Callithrix jacchus: one gene and its partner. The protein of the gene in region 2 purifies or fractionates together with the protein of the main gene of each other region. This does not show direct contact. Links are inferred from orthologs where the notes say so. Each region holds a gene or a part of one and is shown on either strand. Other genes may lie near its edges.

Region 1 (6,956 bases), on a different chromosome or scaffold from region 2:
CGAGGTGGGAGAATTATTTGAAACCGGGAGACAGAGGGGTGAGCCAAGACTGTGCCATTGCACTCCAGCCTAGGCAACAGAGCAAGACTCCATCTCAAAAAAAAAAAAAAAAAAAAAAAAAAGATAAAATAAAAAATAAAATAAATAGAAACAGGATCTCCCCATGGTGCACAGGATGGTCTGGAACTCAGGCGCAAACGACCCTCCCGCCTTGCCCTCCCAAAGCTGGGATTACAGGCATGAGCCACTGTGTCTGAATGAAACAAAACAGAATTAAAGGCACAGTACAATGAATCATCAGAGTGAAGAGAGACCCATTTGCCAACGGCGGTTTGTGGTACAGGTGACCGGGAAAGAAAAATCACTTGAGAAGGGACAGGTGCTCATTGCTCCTGACTTCTGTCTGGACCACTAGTAGTCAAAGCCGCTGAAGAGTTAGGAAGAATGTGTTGTTTGCATATCACAAAATTTTATTAATGTAATTTTAAGGCCAATCAAACTGATTTTATTCAGAGTAAGTCTACATTAAATTACAATATTAATCACTAGGCACAATGAACTTATATAAGAAATAAAAATAGAAATCTGGTCTTTCTCAGACCACATATCATAGAATAAATGAAAATCCTCAAAGATAGAAATGACAATTAAAGAGTGAGGATTTTAATACAGAAATGCACAAGGTGTCATATTTCAAACCCGCATGTTTCAAAAAGGGAATCTTTTAATAATTTAGCACAAAATCAAATTATATAAACTTGGTATATTCCAGAAAATATTGCTTTAAACATTTATGCCATGGTCAAAATTCCTTTGGTAGCTTTTAATCAAAATGAAACATGCTATTATGTAAAATATAAAGTACTTTTAAATGTTATCTCAAAAGCATCTGTCACAGTTACCATTCTACCATCACTACTGAACTTCCATTTCACTGTTCAACCTCATGTACATACACAACACAAAACCAGGTACCCACAAAAGCCCTTTAATCTTCTGACAAAATACCCTCTGTTTCACAACATCAAGGCTAAGTCTCCATAAACTTTTACAGTTTACAGCAGAGAACAAGGATCGTCCCTGCACATGACTGTGAAACCAAACCAAACTTTTAATGATTGCAATCATACAAATACTGAAATTTAAAAAAAATCAAAGAGCAGTTACCCCAATGCAAAAAAACAAAAACAAAACAGGGACCGCCAGACTCAATCTTGGCGTGGAAACAAACACACGAGCCCCAAACCCTTAAACAGAGATCCACAAGCAACTCAGCTGAAACGAAAAGATGCAGCAGGGTGGACACCACGGCCTTGGCACCTCAGGGAGCTCACTTAGAAACCGGACTTGCAAAAAACCAGCCATCGAAGTTTAAAACTTTTAGAAATACATGACACAGAGGGGCCAGTGGCTAGGATGCACCATCCATCTTGCCAGCTTCGAACCCTCGCCCTTCCTAATGTTCACCCACAAAGGGTCCTTGTTTTCACTCTAAACGCCGATCATCTGAGCGAGCTTATCTTCAGGGGTACCTAGGGAATCTTTAGAGCTAAAAAATGCAGCATCTAGGGTCTTCTTCATTGTGCATTCATGATCACACAAGAACAAACTTTCAGCTTTTTGACACAAGAACAAGACCTTTTAAAGGAACTTCTTTTTAGCAGTATCTTCTTGTCCAATCTCAAAGTTGTTTTGCAGAGTAACAGAAACAATTTAAATGCCTAAAAGAACTAGAGGAAAAACCAGAGGAAAAAAAGACACATCTGCCAGTTGAAGTCTTGAGCCTTGTGAAGGATGACCCAGGAGGAGTCACTTTCCTTCTTTCTTTCAATGTCCACAGCGGGATCAATTACAGAGTCCTGGAAATGGCACAGGTGTGCTTCCCTGCTCTGAGGGTACATTCTAGTGTTTCATGAACGGGAACTGTCTGCAGATGCATCAGGCCACGTAGTGGTACTGATTCGGATTGTCTCTGTCTCTCTCCATATAGTCTCTGTCTATCAGAGATTCAATTCTCTTTTTCAAATCTCCAGGCTAAAAAAGAAAAATAAAACAATCTCCCTAATTATAGTGGCAATAAATTTACAAACATAGGGGTATATGCAGGAAGTATATAATTGTAATTACTAAAATATATATACAAATAGACATTTATATATAAATCATTTATAATTATGCACATTTATAAAAGTAATACAATTGTCTATTTCAAAGTTAAGGTTACCTCTAGATGAAAAATGTGTCCATGTGAGTTTATGGTCAGAGTGTGCCTTCCTGAGGGAAATGTGAAACTTGTGAAATATACATATATCATCTACCATCATAAACAGGACATAAGCAAGGTAGAGCCCATCACATGACACGTTTTTGTTTGTTTGAAAGGAAAAATCTCATCATGTTTTATTGGGGCATTTTTTTTTTTTTGAGACAGAGTCTGGTTCTGTCACCCAGGCTAGCGTGCAGTGGCACGATCATGGCTCACTGCAACCTCCACCTCTGAGTTCAAGTGATTCTCCTGCCTCAGCCTCCCAAGTAGGTGGGATTACAGGAGCCTGCCACCATGCCCACCTATTTTTTGTATATTTAGTAGAGATGGGGTTTCACTGTGTTGGCCAGGCTGGTCTTGAACTCCTGACCTTGTGATCTACCTGCATCGGCCTCCCAAAGTGCTGGGATTAAGCATGAGCCGCCTGGCCTTATTGGGGCATTTTTATCCTTTGTCAGGATGCTTCTGCCTAAGTACCCTATTTTATTAATGTATTTATTTATTTTGAGATAGAGTCTCATTTTGTTGCCCAGGCTGGAGTGCAGTGGTGCCATCTCAGCTGACTGCAGCCTCAACCTCCTGGACTCAAGCAATCCTCCATTTCAGCCTCCCCAGTAGCTGGGGCCACGGGTGCACACCACCATGCCTGGCTAATTTTATTTTTTGTAGTGAAGGGGGTCTCACTATGTTGCCCAGGCTGGGCTCAAGCAAGCTGCCTGCCTCAACCTCACTGGTGTGAGCCAGCGCACCCAGCTGTATTTCTATTATGTATTTCTATAGTTATTACACGCTATGTCTACATACGTGAAACTACAACCCCAGGTGCTCCTGTGCTAAAAGCAGGTAACTGACTAGACAAATCCACAGCCATGCTTGTCTCTGCCCAGGAGGGCGCCCACTCCAGCTTTGCTGTATGAGGAAGCACATCTGTGTGAGCACTTATGTGCAAGGTTCTCCTATACAAGGGAGACCCACTATTTTCCAAACAAACATAACCTTCTATTCAGTGATAAGCCACATATTTTACAAGATGTGGCTGAAAACCTAACTATCTGTGAGAGCACAGCAGGCGCCCTGGTTGGCCACATTCTGCCCTCGCCTGCCTTCTGCTTCATGCTGGGCCTGGCTGTTCAGAGTGGGAACAGGAGATGTGCTCCAGCTGGTGGGAGGAAGGGGCAGCATCCCTGACGGTGCTTCCGAAGCTGCGCAGAACCCTGAGGATGCCTCACCCCTGCAGGGAAGGAGGCAAGCGCAGGCTGATGGACAGTGGCACTTCCATCACTCTTACGTGTCTGACTATTTAGTGTATCCAGACTTTATTCTGCTGGGGGCGTCAAACTGCACAACGTGGCATCTGGGGACTTTCCCTCCAAAGCACGTGTGGCTGATCCAGTCCCTGAGGGGGTAGGTGTCATCAGAGTTTGGGATTTTCTAGGTTGATAAATACAGGTAAAAACATTTTGTAGTACTTTTCTGGCTTATCCTGCATCCCACATGTGGCAGGAGAGTAAATCTCTGTTCTAAATACACAGTGCAGATTGACAGGTCTGGGCCATTTTCGTAAGCAACAGCGACAGTGGACTGTTACCGTGGTAGAAAATGCTGGGCAACCTGTACTCGCTGAATAAATTAGTTATTGTCACCATTTCCTTACAATCTTGTGATGTAACCTTGACTGCTGCTACTATAAGAAAAGTGTTGAGCTTTCCATGTTTTATCTTCCTGTCCCCTTCTTGAGAATATGAACAAGCGCACTATCCCTGGGAAGGAGAGTTTTAGGACACTATTATTTCCACAGTGGCAACGAACGACATCTGGAGTAAGGGTATTCACATTCACCAGTCTTTCTACATTCAGTGTACACACAAATGATCACAAATAATGCAGGTCAAATCATATGACTGAACAGTGAGAATTAAACGCGCTTTGTCAATTACCTAGCATAATACTACAAATTTAATTATGCTAATGCTACATTTACCTTGACTGGAAATTTCAGCTGATTATATAATTCAGAAACTAGAAGATTATGACCAAGGGTCTTTCTCATCTTCATTATTCTGACGATAGCAGCATCAATCTGATATTGTCTATCCTGAAACACTCTCTCAGTGGTGCTAACTTGTTCCTCAACCTGTAAAAAAAAAAGAAAAAAAAAGTTAAGTGCAAAGCTATATTTTCTTTCTTTTTTTTTTTTGAGATGGAGTCTTGCTCCGTCGCCCAGACTGGAGTGAAATGGTGCAACCTCTGCCTCCCGGGATCAAGCAATTCTCCTGCCTCAGCCTCCTGAGTAGCTAGGACTACAGGCACCCACCATCATGCCTGCCCACTTTTTGTATTTTTGTAGAGACGGAGTTTCACCATGCTGCCCAGGCTGGTCATGAACTTCTGACCTCAGGTGATCTGCCCTCCTCGGCCTCCCAAAGTGCTGGGATTACAGATGTGAGCCACTGTACCCAACCTATATTTTCAAAATTAATGATTTATGTTACCAAATATGATGAGAAATGCTCTTCTGATGCAAAGAAAGGTCAGATATTGGATGAATTCTACTTTATTATGCAGGTTTATTTGTTCTAGTAAAATGTACCTTCCCAGAATAGCAAAACTCCCAAACCGAAGCTTAGAAAATATTTTTAAAAGTTATATTTTCCTTGAAAGAAGCTGTAACAACTCTTATATGATGTAGATTAAAACTAGCAGCACAGTAAACAAAACAAAGCATAAGACCATCAGGATATATTCCAGAAATGTAAGCGCTGATCAACATTAGGAAATCTGAGAATATAAGTGAGGGCACTGTCACAGTTGAAAGGTTAGATTATATGACCATCTTGATAGATGCTGGAAAAGGCATGAGCAAATTGAAAACTGACTTTTGATTTAAAATAAACATTAGCCTACAAGGATGAATAAAAAAGGACAGAATCTGAACGTGAAGTGTGGTTATCAGAAACAAACAGCAACTACTAGAGGCAACTTAACCTCAGTCAAATAGGAACCTGACGGGCTGTGGTCTGCAGCTGAAATCAGGGTTGGCGGAAGGTCTATGCATACATGTGAGGCAAGTATGCTTCAGCACAGGACGGGCTCCAAGCTTTCATCACATTTTCAACAGGATCCACGACCCCCAAAAGTTAATATTCTCTGAGCCAGAGATAAAATTAGGAAGCTTAGTTGCACTGCTAATCTTTAAAAACGTGACTTTAAAGGTTCTAACTACGCAATACGAGAACAGACTAAAGAGGTATATTGAAAAAGTGTAGAAAAAATGATCATTATTTACAGATGAGCTGGAAAATCCAAGAAAATCAACAGAAAAACTTTCAAAGCAAACGAGTTTTGTAAAGTGGCTGGAAATAAAATAAATAAATAAATAGCATTAATATATACATTCTGATAAAAACTGTCAGAAATATAAAGAAAAAAGACCCGCTTTATAAGAGATCAACATTTCATTCGCCTGTCTTGCTTAAAACTAATGGTTTTCCAAACGCTTCACAGGTCTGAGCCATCTCCAGAGGGTCCAGCTATGGCTGCCTAGTTAGACCTGTCTGACTCAGCTTCCGCTTCTGGCAATGCTGCTGCAGCCAGAGGCCTTTCAGTTCCTGAGCAAAACCAGTCATTTCTCAGGAAAGCCTTGGCTGACCCTAGTATTTGATTAGGCTCTGCTGCACCTCTCTGCCCTAACATTTTCCTCCACTCTTACAGGTTAGTCAATGTGTGTGATCCTCTGCAACCTCTCTGCCAGAAAAGACTCAACGCACCCAGAAACAAGGACTTATTCTTTATTGTTAATGAATGAACTCTCAGTGCTTCATAGAGGACCTGGCTCACCACAGATGCTCAGTATTTGTTGAACGAATTAAAATTTATAACTAGCAAGAAATATGCACGACTAAAACTAGAAAGCTCTGAGAAAGAGAAAAGGTTTGCATATACATTTTATACATACACATATGTACGAATCAGAACATGTAACATAAAGAAAAACTGCAAATTAATGCAGTAGGTATTTAAAATGTTAATGTTCTTATTTAGGGGAGCAAAGACATGATACAATTATTGTGAAGTTCATTGGGAGAATAAAGCTAAAAGAATAGCTACATTATTAAAAGAATCTGGTGCCAGGCATGGTGGCTCATGCCTGTAATCCCAGCACTTCCGCACTTCGGGGGGGGGGGTGGTCAACGTAGGAGGACTGCTTGAGCCTAGGAGTTCAAGACTAGCTAGGTAATATGGCAAGACCTCATCTCTACAAAAATACAAAAAATTAGCCAGGCTTGGTGCCACACGCCTGCGGTCCCAGCTACTTCAGAAGCTGAGGTGGGAGCATCTCTTGAGCCCACATGGTTGAGGCTGCAGTGAGCTATGATCATACCACTGCACTCCAACCAGAACGACACAGCCAGACCCTATCGCAAAAACAAAAAACCCAAAACCAAACACACACACACACACACACCCCAAAAACTTGGGGTGGGGAAAGGGATGGCTATGAAAGAGATACAGAACTTATGGAAGAGAATTGAGAAACTGACCTATAATATATGAATTTGATATATAATAAGGTGATCATTCAAATAACTTGTCCAAGGATAATATCTTAAGTTTGGTTTTAGAAAGGGTGAGTGGTTAGATTGGTTTCAGATAGTAAAATAACTTCTACGTCATGCAAAGAAACATTTAA
Region 2 (8,447 bases):
CCAGGTTCAAGCGATTCTCCTGCTTCAGCCTCCTGAGTAACTGGGACTACAGGTGCCCACCACCATGCCCAGCTACTTTTTGTATTTTTAAAATAGTAGAGATGGGGTTTCACCATATTGGCCAGGCTGGTCTCGAACTCCTGACCTTGTGATCCACCCACCTCGGCCTTCCAAAGTGCTGGGATTACAGGCATGAGCCACCTGAGCCCAGCCTAGGCTTAAAGTTTTTAAGGTATTAGTCACTAACACCACAAAGCCCTTCAAGGAGTCAGCACTATTACTAATAGCACAAATAATGGGCCCCAGAACTCTCAGGGTTGCACTTAGGCCTGAGTTTACCCAGAAGAAGCCAACTAAGTGGTACCCCTTTACACCCAAGTCCTGGCTCTTGAGGGCAATCAATGAGGTCTAGTAAAAAGGATGTATTTCATTATTTAGTTCTCATGAACCCACTGTAACATAGGTGAAACTATAGCTTTGAGAGGATAAATGATTTACCCTAGGTCACAGAGCTAAGAAGGAGCAGGCATGGGTTCAAATATCAGCCCTATCACTACTAGTTGTGTAACCTCCAGCTTATTCCTTAACTTTCTAGAGTCTCAGTTTCTCATTTGTAGAGTAGAGCCACCGTGCCCAGCCATGTCAGTTTTTACAGATCAGACAGACAGGGAGGCTGGACATGGTGGCTCACACCTGTAATCTCAGAACTTTGGGAGGCCAAGGTGGGCAGATTGCTTGATCCCAGGAGTTTGAGAGCAGCCTGAGCAACACAGTGAAACCCCGTCTCTACAAAAAAATTTAAAAATTAGTGGCCGGGTGCAGTGGCTCACGCCTGTAATCCAAGCACTTTGGAGGCCAAGGCGGGTAGATCACCTGAAGTCGGGAGTTCAAGACCAGCCTGACCAACATGGTGAAACCCTGTCTTTAAATAAAAAAAAAATAGCAAGGTGTGATGGCATGCACCTGTATTCCCATCTACTCGGGACATTGAGGCAGGAGGGTCACTTGAGCCCAGGAGGCAGTGGTTGCAGTGAGTCAGGACTGCACTACTGAACTCCAGCCTGGCCAACAGAGTGAGACCCTGTCTCAAAAAAAAAAAAAAAAAAAAAAAAGCCGGGAGTAGTGGCTCATACCTATAATCCTAGTACTTTGGGAGGATAAGGCAGGTGGACCTCAGGAGTTCCAGACCAGCCTGGGAAATATGGCAAAACACTGTCTCTACTAAAAACACAAAAAATTAGCCAGGGCTGGGCTCAGTGATTCACATCTATAATCTCAGCACTCTGGGAGGTGGAGGCAGGTGGATTATCTGAGGTTAGGAGTTCAAGACCAGTCTGGCCAAGATGGTGAAACCTTGTCTCTACAAAACTACAAAAATTAGCTAGGCGTGGTGGTACATGCCTGTAATTCCAGCTACTCAGGAGGCTGAAGCATGAGAATCATTTGAACCCAAGAGGCAGAGATTGCAGTGAGCTGAGATCAGGCCACTGTACCACAGCCTGGGTGACGAAGTGAAACTCTGTCTCAAAAAAAAAAAAAAAAGGGTGGGTGTGGTGGCTCATGCCTGTAATCCCAGTACTTTGGGAGACCAAGGCAGGCAGATCATGAGGTCAAGAGTTTGAGACCAGCCTGGCCAATATGGTGAAACCACATCTCTACTAAATATACAAAAATTAGCCAGGCATGGTAGCGCATGCCTGTAGTCCCAGTTACTCAGGAGGCTGAGGCAGAAGAATTGCTTGAACCCAGGAGGCAGAGGTTGCAGTGAGCCGAGATCACGCCACTGCACTTCAGCCTGGGCAATAGAGTGAGACTCTGTCTCAATAAAATAAAAATTTTAAAAAATGTTTTAAAAGATGTGGCAAGCCCTCTGCTTGAATATCTGCAACAATGGGTAACTGACTCCCTCACAAGGCAGCCAATTTTCTTTTTAGAAAGCTACATTTTTTCCTATCAAACCAAAGTCTACTGTTTTGGAATTTATGCCATTTAATCCTGTGACTCCTTCTAGAATCACAGAGAACATCCAGTTTCCTTTCCCCGTGACAATTCTTCAAGTATTTGAATGAGGTATCATTTTCCCCCAGGCTCTTACCCTTGGTCCTTTCAGTTCTTCCTCAGTGTCACAGTCCCCAAGGCAATTCAGTATCATAGAGCAGATAGACTTGGGTTTGAATTCCAATCCTTCCTCTTACTAGCTGTGTGACCTTAGGCAAATTACTTAATCTCTCTGAATCTGTTTCTTCACAGGGAAAATGATTCTCACCTCACAGGACAGGCATGAAGTTTACCCTGGATAAAGTAAAAATACTAACTAGCACTGAGCCCAAGATACACCAGGCCCCGAATAAAATGTCAGTCACTTTTTAGGACATATCCCAACTGGCAAATAACTCTCAAATTAAACATAACACCAAGGAACTGGTTTCTGATGGCAACAGCCAGAACTTTGGCTTCTGAAGAGATGATAGCTAAGACAGCACAACCGAAGGGTTTTGTGGGTCCAGGAATCTGCAATGGCAGCCTAAAGATGCAGTGGAGCATCTGGAAAGGTGAGGAAGAAAGAAGAAAGGAAACAGGACAGACAATTAAACCAGTGACCCAAAGAAAAGACAAGTATCACCAGGTTACATGTTCTGTTTGACTTCCCCTCTAAGACTCAGAACTACACATGTGAGCCACATTCCTTAATTTAAAAGGAGAAATGAGAGCTAGTCATGGTGGCTGTGTCTGTAGTCCCACTACTAGGGAGGCAGAGACATGAGAATCCCTTGAGCTCAGGAGTTCAAGACCAGCCTGGGCAACAGAGTGAGACACCATCTCAAAAAATAAAAGGAGAGAAAAGAAAATAATTAAAGAATGAGTTATAGTCGAGATCTTCCTTAGCAATTGGCCCCTCAAGATCCACAAATGTCTGGCAGTGAACTTCAAGATTTTCAGTTGTGTTTCCAGATCCTAAAGTCCAGGTGTGCAAAAAATACCCTACATAAGATGCCCAATGAGTCAATACTGAACTCCTCCCAGCTAGAAAAACTGCCAATTGTATGAAACTGGTAAATAGCCATTAACATAATAATAATAATCATCATCATCATACTCTTTACATGTGTTCTCCCTTTCCCTCGTGCCAGGCAGGGAAGGTGTCCCGGGCAGAAATATGGACTGCTGCTCAATTATTCTGCAGAGTTGATCTAAAAGCACTGTTTCGTCAAATCAAGGTAAGACTTAAACATAAGTGCTCTTACATAGGTCAAAAAAGGAAAGGAGAGCAGGACTCCAGACTTAAAGCAGCAGGATCACAAACTGTGACAGAAAAGGTCGTTTCTTACCTGCCAATGAAATACAACAACCTGCAATGAAGAAATCTCAGTAAGTCTCAGACTTGGCCCAAAGGAGCCCCAATAGTCACTCCCTGGTCTGTTACGGTTGTTACACTCAACAGCAAAAATTCAATTCAATCCCGCTAAAGATATAAGAATCACATGGAAGAATAAGCCAGAACTCAAGACAGAAATAGCATTAAGTAGTTCCTTCAGTACAGTGAGCAGAGGCTGGCCACTCACCGACTCTAAAAGACACAAAAAAGCTTAGTACAGACCACTGGGCATACCAGTGTACTAGGTGGAGATTTCATATTCTTTGAGTCAGAAGCTGCCCTCAAAATAGTTTTCTTCTCAAAACGGTCAGGCTTTGTTAAAAAGAGAAGATTTCACTGCCACTTTACCTAGATCATTACCCCATCCTTGGAAAGAATGAAGAAGCATCAACCACCCTACCAGGCTCCTAAAGTCACCAACTTGAGAGAAAAACTATAATGCTGTTCTACCACTACTTCAGGAGGTTAAAGTCACAGAAGAAAAGAACTTTGGGGGAAACAGTCAAATTCGGCTGTTAGATATTAGTCATAGGCCCCTGTACTCTTCTCTAGAAACCATGGGAGTACACACGCAGAGGAGAGAGAGCACAAGGCACCAAGTAAAGTCAACCAGGCTGGCAAGGGGGTGTCTCACTGCGGCTTTCAGTCCAAGAATTGGATCCTGCTGGTTCGCAGTCTCTTGTATCTCCTCACTTCCTATTTACCCTTTGAAGTGGGTACTGAATAGCCCATTCCCAAGCAGAGGCCCTTTGTATACGGAGTGCTACAATCGCCTTGTGGAAACACCTTGGCAGAGTTCAGTTTGATGCCAGGATGGGCCACTGAAGGCATCTGCGGTGGACACACACACACACACACACAGAGAGGGAGAGGGGGGCAGAGAGAGAGAGAGAGAGAGAGAGAGAGAGAGAGAGAGAGAGAGGAGAGAGGGAGGGACGGAGGGAGGGAGGGAGGGAGAGAGAGAGAGAAAGAGAAGAGAAGAGAAGAGAGGGAGGGAGGGAGAGAGAGAGAGAGAAACTAAGAGAGCAGGTCGGCCGGCGCTGCCCTCCCGGCACTTACACCTGCCCCTTCTTCCTGACTCCGGCGCCAGATCAGATGTCAAACAAAAACTCCGCAAAAAAGTCCCATGATGGAACGACTTCCACCTCTCCCTCGCCAGAGAACTCCCACAGTCTCCACCTGCGTCCCGACCAGCCCTCCGCCCCCACCCCGCCCCTGGCCCACTCTGCCCTCCGCCCCGGCGAGGCCTGGTCCCTCTCGGGATACCCGGGGCCCCAAGGCGGGCAGGCGCAGGCCCCCAGGCCGGTAGGGCTGGAGCCGGCCCAGAGAGAGCGGCCAGTGCGCCGGGGCTGCGGGAGCCGGTCCCCGCCTCGGCGCCAGCGGAGAGCAGGGGGCGGCGGCGGCGGCGGTGGCGACCCGTACCTGTCAGGTCTCTTCCCCCGACCAGCGGCGGCGCAACTTCAGGAGCCCATGTCCGTCCGGGGGGCGGCCCCTCTCCCGGGAGGGGGGACGCGGATCCCGGGGAGGGGGCTGGAGGGCCCGAGCAGCTCTAGCCCCTTCCCATGCTCCCCGCCCGGCGCCTGGCCGGGGCCAGACAGCGCCTCCGCCCGCCCCTGCGCACCGCCTCACACCCGCGCTCACACGCACTCACACTCCCTCGCGCGCTCTCACACACGCACTCCCCTCCCTCCTCCTCCTCCTCTGTTTATCTCCTCCAGCTGTCTGGGGACCCAGGAGAAGCCCAGCAACGCGCCTGCGCCACGCAGTCTCCGCCTCCGCCCCGCGCCTCACAGCCGGCGGCTACGCTACGGAGACGGCGCCCGGCAGCTTCCAGAATGGCTAGCCTGGCCCCCCCACTAACCCGGCCCCCCCGACCCGCACCCGGTCAACGTCTGCTGCCGGCGGCGCCCACTAACCTGCTAGCGGGGAGCCCCTCACCGCCGTGGCCAATGGGCTTCGCGGCTCGCGGGACCGACAGCCAGTGGGCGGGCGGGAAAGCTGGGCTAAGCCCCGGGGCACCCTGGGAATCGTAGTTTTTCGCCGTCGAGGAGTTCCTGCTGAGCGGGCTCATCCTACCCGGTTGCCATTAGTTACCCGGACGCACCTCCCACCCCACAACCGGGTGAAACACTCCTCACACCGCTTCTGGGACACCCACTCACATGCTCGCCCACTGGTCCCCAGGCCCCCGCACAGCCCCTTAAGAGCTCCTTAAGACTTCCTCTGAGCCCCCGAATCGTGGGACCTCTCAGGCTAGGGCCCCGGGGTTCTCCAGAATCGAGCCTCAGCCCACTGCTTCCTGCTCTGGGGGCGCTGCTGAAGTCGCAGAGTCCTCACTCGCGTCTCCTGGGCCTTAAGAAAGAGGATGAAAGAGAATCGGTCCTACGCTGAATAGCCTGGCAGCCACACACTCTCTGGGTGCCCCCGGGGTGGAGGGAAAGACTAGGTCCATCTGACGCTGTCGGAGACACTGCTGCTCCCACCTCTGAGGAAGAAACGCAGTTCCAGCTTTGTGGAGTCCTAGGTATGATAGAGGAGACACCCTCCTCTTTATTAAGGAAGTACCCAAGGTGACCAGGGTAGCACTAAGCCTATCTTCTTAAGGCAGAGACCAGGCCCCACCCATGAAACCTCAAGTCAGAAAGGGAAGACACGTGTCATCACCTTCTGACAAGGGAAGCTTGTCACTCACTCACAGGGTGCCATTTGTCAGATAATAACAACAATTCACTTTTATTCTCGCTGGATTGGGCACAGTCCTCTAGTTAGGTACTATTGCTGTCTGTGTTTTGCGGAAAAGGAAAGAAGCTAAAACAGAAAGCTTAAAAGCAACTTGCCTCCGGGGTCCTGATAAGGAGACAAATTGGGAATCAGACCCAGATCTGCCTGACTTCAGAGTCTGAGCCTTTGAACACTGCCTGTCTTTCCTGTGAAAACCAGACAGCACCTGCTCTCAGTAAGGACTGAATATATGTATTTGGCATTTATAGTGTTTATTACTCCATGTGTTTCTTGTTTTTTTCCAATTCTGCTCATATCATGAGTATGAATTTGTCTGTGAATACCTGAATACTCCCAGAAACCAAGGTAGTATTCTAGTTGCTGGTGATTTCTCCCTAAGGGAGATTTCTCCCCATTTAGAGGAGTAAATCTAAACTGTGATTTATCTCTCATTTAGAGGAGTAAGAACTGAAAAAAAAGTAAAAAGAAAAAAATAAGAAAAAAAAGTAAGAAGAAGAACCTACCCTTGTGAAATCAGCTCACAAAAAGCTTTTATGCCTTTCTCCTAAAAATGTTGTGGGCCATTCCTCCTAACCTCTCCCCCACAGCTGTTCCACTGAATATAAAAAAATCATAGACCTTGGGACTAGAAAAAAGCTTTTAGATCATCTATCTGTAGCTCTCTGGGTTCAGGCTGCAACCTTGGTTAGGGTCATTGGGTTAATTAAATAATAGCTAATGTTTATTGAATACTTACCATGAGAGATAAATACTTACTAGTGGATTTAGAAACACTCCCAGCCATGCATGGTGGCTCACACCTGTAATCCCAGCACTTTGGGAGGCCAAGGTGGGCAGATCACGAGGTCAGGAGTTCAAGAGCAGCCTGACCAACATGGTGAAACCCCATCTCCACTAAAAACACAAAAAGTAGCCGGGTGTGGTGGTGTATGTCTATAATCCCAGCTACTCAGGAGGCTGAGGCAGGAGAATCGCTTGAACCCAGGAGGCAGAGGCTGTAGTGAGCCTGAGATTTCGCCACTGCACTCCAGCCTGGGCAACAGAATGAGACTCTGTCTCAAAAAAAAAAAAAAAAAAAAATGAAGGAAGGAAGGAAGGAAGAAGGAAAGGGAAAGGAGGGGAAGGAAGACTCCCACAATCACAAAGCAAGGAAGTGGTACAGTTGGGATTAAAGCCTAGACTATTCAAATCCAGAACCCCCATTTCAAAATTATTTTAGCATCCTGTTTTAGTTGTGGCAGAGAAACCCCATTTTAGACCCTTGTTTAATGCTAATAAGGTCACAGATGATCTTAGATATACCGACAGAGAAGAGTGGGTGATGTTTCTGTGACTCCTAGCACAGTCTATGGCACATAGCAGAAACTCAGTAAATAATTGTTGTTAGAATGAACTTTTGTTGGTAGAGAGTGATGACAGGAAGAAGACTTTTTTTTGAGACGGAGTCTCACTCTGTTGCCCAGGCTGGAGTACAGTGGCGTGATCTCGCCTCACTGAAACCTCTGCCTGCTGGGTTCAAGTGATTCTCCTGCCTCAGCCTCCCAAGTAGCTGGTACTACAGGCACAGGCCACGACACCCACCTAATTTTTGTATTTTTAGTAAAGATGGGGTTTCGCCATATTGGGGTCAGGCTGGTCTTGAACTCCTGACCTCAGGTGATCTACTTGCCTCGGCCTCCCAAAGTGCTGGGATTACAGGCATGAGCCACCTCGCTCGTAAGGAAGAAGACTATTAACAACTGCAGCTACTGTTTATTATTTTCTACTAGGTACTCACTTGTACTCTTACACTTGCTTGAGTTTCTCTCCTCTCTTCCTCCCTCTCCGTATAAGCAGAGACTTATACATAAATCTATACATACATTTGTGTACACATACACATATACACTCACACACACTAACTCATTTGATTCTCCCAACCACATTATGAGTTAGGTATGATTCTTACTCCCATTTTACATAAAAGAAACAAAGATTTGGCCAGGCATGGTGGCTCACACCTGTAATCCTAACATTTTGGTTCCAAACCAGCCTGGGCAATATGGCAAAACCCTGTCTCTACAAAAAATACAAAAATTGGCCAGGCACAGTGGCTTACACCTGTAATCCCAGCACTTTGGGAGGCCAAGGCGGGTGGATCACAAGGTCAGGAGTTTGAGGCCAGCTTAGCCAACAGAGAAAACCCCATCTCTACTAAAAATACAAAAATTAGCCAGGCGTGGTGGTACATGCCTGTAGCCCCAGGTACTTGGGAAGCTGAGGCAGAAGAATTGCTTAAACCCGGGAGGTGGAGGTTGTGGTAAGCCAAGATTGCACCACTGTACTCCAG

The links. The genes of interacting proteins can lie anywhere in the genome.
Region 1: the proteins of WDTC1 (region 2) and CUL4A purify together in Homo sapiens (affinity purification with mass spectrometry; 10 studies listed by BioGRID and IntAct, counting the BioPlex papers as one, with this or other methods). This does not show direct contact. The link is inferred for Callithrix jacchus from reciprocal best matches to the Homo sapiens genes WDTC1 and CUL4A.

The regions. Positions count from the first base shown.
Region 1 is NC_133502.1:28,718,130-28,725,085, reverse strand, and holds the end of CUL4A (cullin-4A), read right to left. Parts: intron 4,401-6,956; coding exon 4,248-4,400; intron 2,035-4,247; coding exon 1,939-2,034; 3' UTR 453-1,938; downstream 1-452. UniProt on the Homo sapiens protein: Core component of multiple cullin-RING-based E3 ubiquitin-protein ligase complexes which mediate the ubiquitination of target proteins. As a scaffold protein may contribute to catalysis through positioning of the substrate and the ubiquitin-conjugating enzyme.
Region 2 is NC_133508.1:63,901,687-63,910,133, reverse strand, and holds the start of WDTC1 (WD and tetratricopeptide repeats protein 1), read right to left. Parts: upstream 5,325-8,447; 5' UTR 5,293-5,324; exon of another isoform or gene 5,130-5,292; intron 5,120-5,129; exon of another isoform or gene 4,799-5,119; intron 4,208-4,798; exon of another isoform or gene 4,011-4,207; intron 1-4,010. UniProt on the Homo sapiens protein: May function as a substrate receptor for CUL4-DDB1 E3 ubiquitin-protein ligase complex.